Schizosaccharomyces pombe: one gene and its partner. The gene in region 1 interacts genetically with each later gene. Each region holds a gene or a part of one and is shown on either strand. Other genes may lie near its edges.

Region 1 (4,684 bases):
ATCTTTTTTAAATCTCTCGTTGTCAAGGTTTTACTGAAGGTTGTTGCGAGACGGATTAAATAGTTTACTCCATTCCATTTAGAATGTGGGGAGCTAATTAAGGATCTTTAAAGATAAATTTGTACGATTTAATCAAAGAAATGTTGTATTTTAAGATTTTGTATGTAATTAACAAAATTTGTCGCAAAACAGTCTTTTTGCTCAGTTATATTATTATTACTCAATTAAAGAATGTAACCTGCTGTTATTGGTATCTAAATCGCTTCCTTATTAAAGTTGTTTATTTATAAAGTAAATTTAAAAAAATCATGGTTCATATTCCTGTTAAAATAGGATTGCATTTTCGTAGACTCGTATTTACTTCAAAACAATCTGGTAATTTATTTCTTCAACAGTTTCAATTCTAAAACAATTGATAAGTTTACTGTATATTTTACTTCATATTAAAAGATATCATTGCATTCTTTTAGCGGTGATTTCAATCAAGCCATTATAGCGTAAATTACCCATCAAGGAACTTTAATATGTAAGCAACAGAACTAATTACTCCAAAAATTCAGATCATATATAATTACTTTAAATCTAGTTAAATGTAAGTGAAGTACCAAATCATAAGGAAAGGAGTCACTTTGTAATCAATGTATGCAAAATCATAAATCGTAGTTTTCGCGATTTAAGCCAAAAACTCAATTACTCGACCAGCGAGACGTAAAACACAATGTTTTATTGAGCAGACTCAATGAAATTTATCAATCTTTTAGACTCTTCCTTCCAGTCCATTTGATTAATTGACATCACTGTATAGCGTACTCGCATTTCACCTTTAAAATTGTCTTGCTTAGCACGACATTGAAAGATATATGGCATATAGCAAGCTTCTGCCATACAATTCATAAAGGCATTTTCGTCGTTTTCTTGTAGATCATTCAATTCGTCTGCCGTTTTATGCATGATTAATTTACCGACGTCGTCAAAGACGTTGAGCCAGAGTTGTCCCGTATGATCACCTACAGCAATAGTTATAATATAACGGTATTGAGGAGCATCATATTCTTTATTACATTTCTCACATCGCCAGGAGCCACCTTGATCAAAAACCTTTTTGTTGCAATCAGCAGCAGGGCAAGCAGGATATGACACGTTTTTCTTTCGAATGTAAACAATGGTGCCCTTTAAGCTAAAATAATCGGGTGTTTCTGACATTCCCAGATGTTCGGCTTGAACCTCAGCAATATTTTTACGTTCAGCACTCCTTCCAGTAGTAGATAAAGTAGATGAAATTACGCTATGTTTGGCAAATTCCTGCCCTCTACCCTGTCCATCATACCAACCTTTTAACAAATGAGATTCCTGGATATCTGGATCTACCGACATGGTGCTGCTAGTTAACATTGACAAAGAGCGTCCTTGAAAGTCATTAACTTTAACTCCTTTGAAAGCGAGAATACTTTCTTCAGAAACAGAGAATTCAATAGCTGTCTTTCCCCAAAGCGTAACACGCATTTCATATCCTGTTTGGTCAACGATAGTGATATCACGCTTGTCAAATCCACGAGAAGTTGCACGACTGGTAATTTGTTGAACTGGTCCAACGTTTTGGAGTACACCAATTACATCGATAACAGCATCTTTGGCAACATCGCCGACTTCTTGTAGAGAAACAAAACTAAACTTCGCAACGGGGACGGCAGTTTGATCCTCAGCTTTCCTTATTTCAGTATCACGTTCAAACATCAGCTCATACTCGTTTTGAACATTGGTATATTGTTTTTTTGCAATGTTCACACGACAACGAGATATATAATAAACCGAACCTTCCTGTAAGATATCATAAAAAGCATCAACCTGGTCATTAAAGCCTGTTGCACGAATCTCCCCACTTTCATCGAGTAAATTTACGCTAAAAAGCTTTCCTTCACCTCGTTGATTATGCCAATGTTTAACCTCAGATTTGTTAGTAACACGGGCACGAATAGTCCATTTATTCTGATATGGAGAGAGACCTTCAATTGGGTAGATTATTGTGCTAAGGCTATTCGGCGCTGCTGGCTTCTTCATCATGGGAGGTGGAGCCGGTGCTGTAGCTGCAGCATTGTTTCCATAAAATGAGTTAGTGCTTGTCGAAATACCTGTTCGTGGTGCGCTAGCATTGTTTTGCTCATTTTGCTGCTGCCGTAAAGCGTCAACTGTTTCTAAACCAGCGGGATTACCAATTTTATCCATTACGCCAAGTTCAGTTAAAACATTCAAACCAAGAACAATCAAAATTTTTCTTTCTTTCATAACGTTTACAGTGAATTGGGTAAGCTGTACGAACGCTCCTTTTTGAAGTTTATTTTCGGCAACCAAATGGTTCAGCTGGGTGCTTAACATAGATTGCGCATAATTGATTGAATCGGAAAGGACAACACGATATCTTTTAGGAGCACCAGAAGTTGGATTTGAGTTTAGCTCCTTCACGGTTAAGACTTGGAGAATTGGATTAGGAGGAAAAGACGAAGCATCGGATGTACTAAAGAAACGTGTTAACATCCCAATTTGTCGAAATCTTTTGAGTATATAATTTGGACAGTTAACTTACTTGATTATACGAAGTGCACCCACGGATAATCGCTCAGCCATGTTTGCAAATTCTTTTTTTTTTAATTAGTGGTTGGTTTAAGGCAAAAGAACGAAGCCGCGTCGCGTTATCCCAAATGAAAAACGCGAACGCGTCATGACGCGTCGTAACACATTTTAATATTACGCGTAACTTTAAGATGTGTTGTTTGTGTACGTGCATGTCAACAATGGTTGTTTACTTTCAAAGTTATCCTTTGCGCACAACACATTGCTATAGAAAAGCCCTTAAAAGCTGAAAAGAATAGTAGTGTTATTTAATTCTCTACAAAAGGAAATAAATCCTTTGTGATTTTCCTTTTGTTGGAAGAGTTGAACTACATTATCATCTGCATATTATTTATTATTTAGGAAAACCGGAGATATCAAAGTGAAAACGGGATTTTAACAGCTAATAAGCAAAAAAATATAACTTTATTTACATTCAGGTTTCAGTTAAAGATGGATTCATCAACCACCATCCCAATTACTCCAACGCGAACACCATGTTTTTTTAATATATCCTCTTCGTTTAATGAGCATTCTCCATTAAATTTCTACGATGAACCCATTTACAATTTTTCGTCTGGCCATGAAGAAAATCAGAGCCATAAGTCATCAAAACTGACATTCTTTAAACCTTCCAATACAAAAAGAAGTCCACATACCCCTATGCAAAATAATGCAAAAGCCATCAGATTATCCACTACAGTTCGCCACGGAATTTTTAAGAATTCAGATCTCGATGGGTGTAGCAAACCATTTGCATTTTCGAGCGGCTTGAAGTTATCCAAAAAAATTGTGGATGCTTCAACGCCAATTGATTTAAAACGAAAAAGGGCGGTGACTTCTTTAAGCACAGGACTGTTATCAAAACGTGAAAAGTGGTCATTATGGGAAGGGAATTTGACTAATCCAAGAAGTGAACAACCTCATACACCTTGTAAAAAGGGAACGAAAATAAAATTAAAACCACCTCAATCTCCGCTGTCACCCACTACCTCTCTTTTAGCTCGCAAATGTAAACATATCGACCTAGATACTTTTAGTCGGTTGGATCATCCAAACTCTGACAGCTCGGATGAAACGTTTGAAATGGAAGAACTTCCTTCTTTGTCTTATGGTTCAGAGGACTTGTTGGAATTTTGCGAAACGCCTTGCAAGAGTCAGCCTATTTTCCTTTCAAGTTCCCACGTTAATAACTGGGATGAGAAAGACGTACCTTCTTCATTAAGTTGGACACCTACCAGTCCAATTTTTTTAAACATCAACAGCGCAGATGATTACGAAGAAGAGGAAGATTGGACTAGTGATCTTCGAATTCGATTCCAACAAGTTAAGCCGATACACGAGAGTGATTTTTCATTTGTATATCATGTGTCTTCGATCAACCCACCTACTGAAACGGTTTACGTTGTAAAAATGTTAAAAAAAAATGCAGCCAAGTTTACAGGAAAAGAGCGTCACTTACAGGAAGTATCTATTTTGCAACGCTTGCAAGCATGTCCATTTGTAGTAAATCTAGTGAACGTTTGGAGCTACAATGATAATATATTTTTGCAATTAGATTATTGTGAAAACGGAGACCTAAGTTTATTTTTAAGCGAATTGGGATTATTGCAGGTCATGGATCCTTTTCGCGTGTGGAAAATGTTGTTTCAACTAACTCAAGTAAGTTATTACATATTTAAAAGTCGCGTTCCACAGACACGTCATTTGAATTCACTAACCGAACATAGGCATTAAATTTCATTCATCTTTTAGAATTTGTTCATTTAGACGTTAAGCCTTCCAACGTTCTTATAACTCGTGATGGTAACTTAAAGTTGGGAGACTTCGGACTAGCAACTAGTTTACCGGTCTCCTCGATGGTTGATCTCGAAGGCGACAGAGTCTATATAGCTCCCGAAATATTAGCTTCGCATAATTATGGGAAACCAGCCGATGTATATTCACTAGGCCTCAGTATGATTGAAGCCGCAACAAATGTAGTCCTGCCAGAAAATGGTGTTGAATGGCAACGACTAAGGTCTGGAGATTACTCAAATTTGCCAAATCTTAAAGACCTCCTTTTGTCGAAAGAAAA
Region 2 (2,637 bases), on another chromosome or scaffold:
TTGTAAAGGAAAAAGTAATATAATAATTCTCAAAACAACCAATTTTCTTTAGGAATAAGCGATATTCAGCGTAGTACCACTAGATATACTTGCGTTGCTCGCTTTGTATATATATGGTAGTTGGATTGTTACAATGGCAGGGTGACTGAAGGATGAGCAAACGTAAGAAACACCGGTATGTACCGTCTTCGGAGCCGAATCGTCCGCGATGAGCATCTCAAGGATACACTAAATAAGATAGTGCGAAAAAAGGAGAACGTTATATAAAAATACTCAAACAAGAATCAAAAAAAGTGAAATAAACGATAGTAAAATTCATATTTGTATTAGCCAAAAGGAAGAATCATTATAAAAGAAAAGCTTGAGTTTAGAAATGCAATAAAATATGCAAAAACCAAAAGAAGGAAGCAAGATTCTGCGCGTTTATTCTTCCATGTTTATTTGTACTGTGCATGAGAAATGAAAGAGAAATCTGTGTTGTATGATCCATAAAATGTTTCTTATTCAAAAAAAAGTGAGTTATACTTATGACTGAATAGAACGAGTTTCTGGTATACCTCCATATCTAAAGGAACAGGAAATTAGTTAATCGGTCAATAGAATGTAGGACTTAGCAGAAGCAGAAGTTCAAAGGACTTCCTTATTATTTTTATAAACACAACTTACCAATATCAGTGCCAAAATCAACACAGGTTAAAAGCTGCACCGAAGAATCTGGTTTGACAGAAACGACAAATTCATAGAAATGATTGGGTTCAAGAGTGTTATCCTAAAATTAGTTAGATAAAATAAAAAAACTCTGAAAACCGATTGTAAAATAGATAAAACGTACCACAGTGAGGTGCATATCGAAAGAACCGTTGGAATCGACTTTTGCAGTTTCACCTTCAACTTGATTCGCCTTGCCAACAATCCGAACCGTTTTTCCAGAGCATTCTGGTAGCATATCTTTCGTAACTCGAGGTGTAGGGCGTTCCATATTATTTTATACGCGTTGTTTATAAAGTGGTGGAAGTGAAGTATGTATCAGACCAGGTAGTTAACTACTTGTTGACACGAATTATTTAAAATATTGGAACGCAGTACGTTATGTATTATATGTTGGAAGGCGCTGGGATGTAAATAAAAAAGCAAAAGCGTAAATATAAACGCTGGGGGCTAACGTTGATACATTACTGTTCTATTTTTTATAAGAATTATTCATAAAAAAATCTCCTTGTATCCTTCTGCGTTAATTTCACTACTTATTAATTGGTTGAAATGTTGTAAATAAACGGGTTAAAGACCAATATAAATACGTCTTACATATAGTGATTTAAATAACATTATGGAAAGATTTCATGGTATTTTATACTATTTTTGAAATCGTCGGCGACTCTTAATTTTCTCTCTTTTCCAATACCACTATTAGTAAATTGCTTAGGCGTAGACCAGAAGCTTCAATAATTAAAAGTAAATGTAATTGATGGAAAGCAGCCTTCTTTTAATGATATAATTTTTCAATTAGTTTTACCTTGAGGTTGTGATTTCATGTATTTCACTTTGAAGTCGCCCATCCCCTCGACCATTCAATTCAAAAAAAAAAAAATCAAAAAACTCCATACTCATATTGAAATCTTTCTTCTGTTACATTAGTTATTAAACCACTCTTCATTTACATTTGCAGAGCTTGTTACCTTAATACTTGCTAGTACCTAAAAGTGCTCTGGTTCAGCTCTCTAGTCGAATTTACCATCAACACTATTTTTGGTGTTACTAATTATAGGGTTTTTGCCCATGAACTATAGGCAATTGTTTCTTCTTCAAAATGTTAATTTAGAGTCTAATTATTTATTAAAACGTGTATGCCTGTCTTTAAAATTGTCTCCTTGTAAACTTACAAGGAAATTTCATCATGCTTGCCCTTCCAGTTCAAAAGTTTTGAAATATTTCCGCATAACTGGATGCCTAATAAATTTCGGGAAACAACCAGCAAACGATCATCATCTTTGGGGACATTGTGGTGCGCGTTTGAAGCATACTCAATCAGATCTTATTGATCGATTTAAAAATGCTAATTTGAAATCCGTGAATGAGGAAAACCTTAAAAAATTTTTCTCTGAATTAGAAAATCATGGAAACATTAGACAGTGGTTGAAAGACAAGTTCGAGAAGGACAAACGCGCTGCTGTTTGTCCTACTACTACAAAATCTGAGGAAGAGAAGTTGGAAAATGATTTTGAGTATTCTTTTGATTTAGAAGATTTCAGCAGTGAGAATTTTAGACAGTACGATCGTGGAGATTTGCTAGTGTTTTATAGGGGCTCCGAAGGCATTGAACTTGCTGCATGCACTGGTACTAATGTTTGGAACTATAGTAATGTATTGACCAGCATTAACGAAAACGGTACTATTAAGGAATTTCGTACATCTAGAGTTTTACTGAGATGTCCTAATGTCTTTAAAAAGCTGAAAGAGGTGCAGCAACCTCTTTCTGATGTTTCTGTTCCTTCTGATGTCCTACCTTTCACTATAAAGTTATTAAAAAAAATCTCTCAAAGAGCACAAGATTTAAGTCGAAGTCACCGAAATGAATTTTTGCGAATATTGACAGAATTCAATATTCCAAATAAACTTGACAATTCAGCTTCTTTTTCA

The links. A genetic interaction does not mean that the proteins touch.
Region 2: mutations in ssb1 (region 1) and ssb3 are lethal when combined (synthetic lethality), as found in Schizosaccharomyces pombe (one study listed by BioGRID).

What each region holds. Positions count from the first base shown.
Region 1 is NC_003423.3:218,639-223,322, forward strand, and holds ssb1 (DNA replication factor A subunit Ssb1), read right to left. Parts: upstream 2,661-4,684; 5' UTR 2,623-2,660; coding exon 2,582-2,622; intron 2,513-2,581; coding exon 724-2,512; 3' UTR 544-723; downstream 1-543. Other genes in the region: M phase inhibitor protein kinase Mik1, read left to right, coding at 3,061-4,269, 4,338-4,684. UniProt on the Schizosaccharomyces pombe protein: As part of the replication protein A (RPA/RP-A), a single-stranded DNA-binding heterotrimeric complex, may play an essential role in DNA replication, recombination and repair.
Region 2 is NC_003421.2:1,281,386-1,284,022, forward strand, and holds ssb3 (DNA replication factor A subunit Ssb3), read right to left. Parts: upstream 1,017-2,637; 5' UTR 980-1,016; coding exon 833-979; intron 770-832; coding exon 667-769; intron 566-666; coding exon 501-565; downstream 1-500. Other genes in the region: rpm1 (3' ssRNA-specific 3'-to-5' exonuclease), read left to right, coding at 1,777-2,637. UniProt on the Schizosaccharomyces pombe protein: As part of the replication protein A (RPA/RP-A), a single-stranded DNA-binding heterotrimeric complex, may play an essential role in DNA replication, recombination and repair.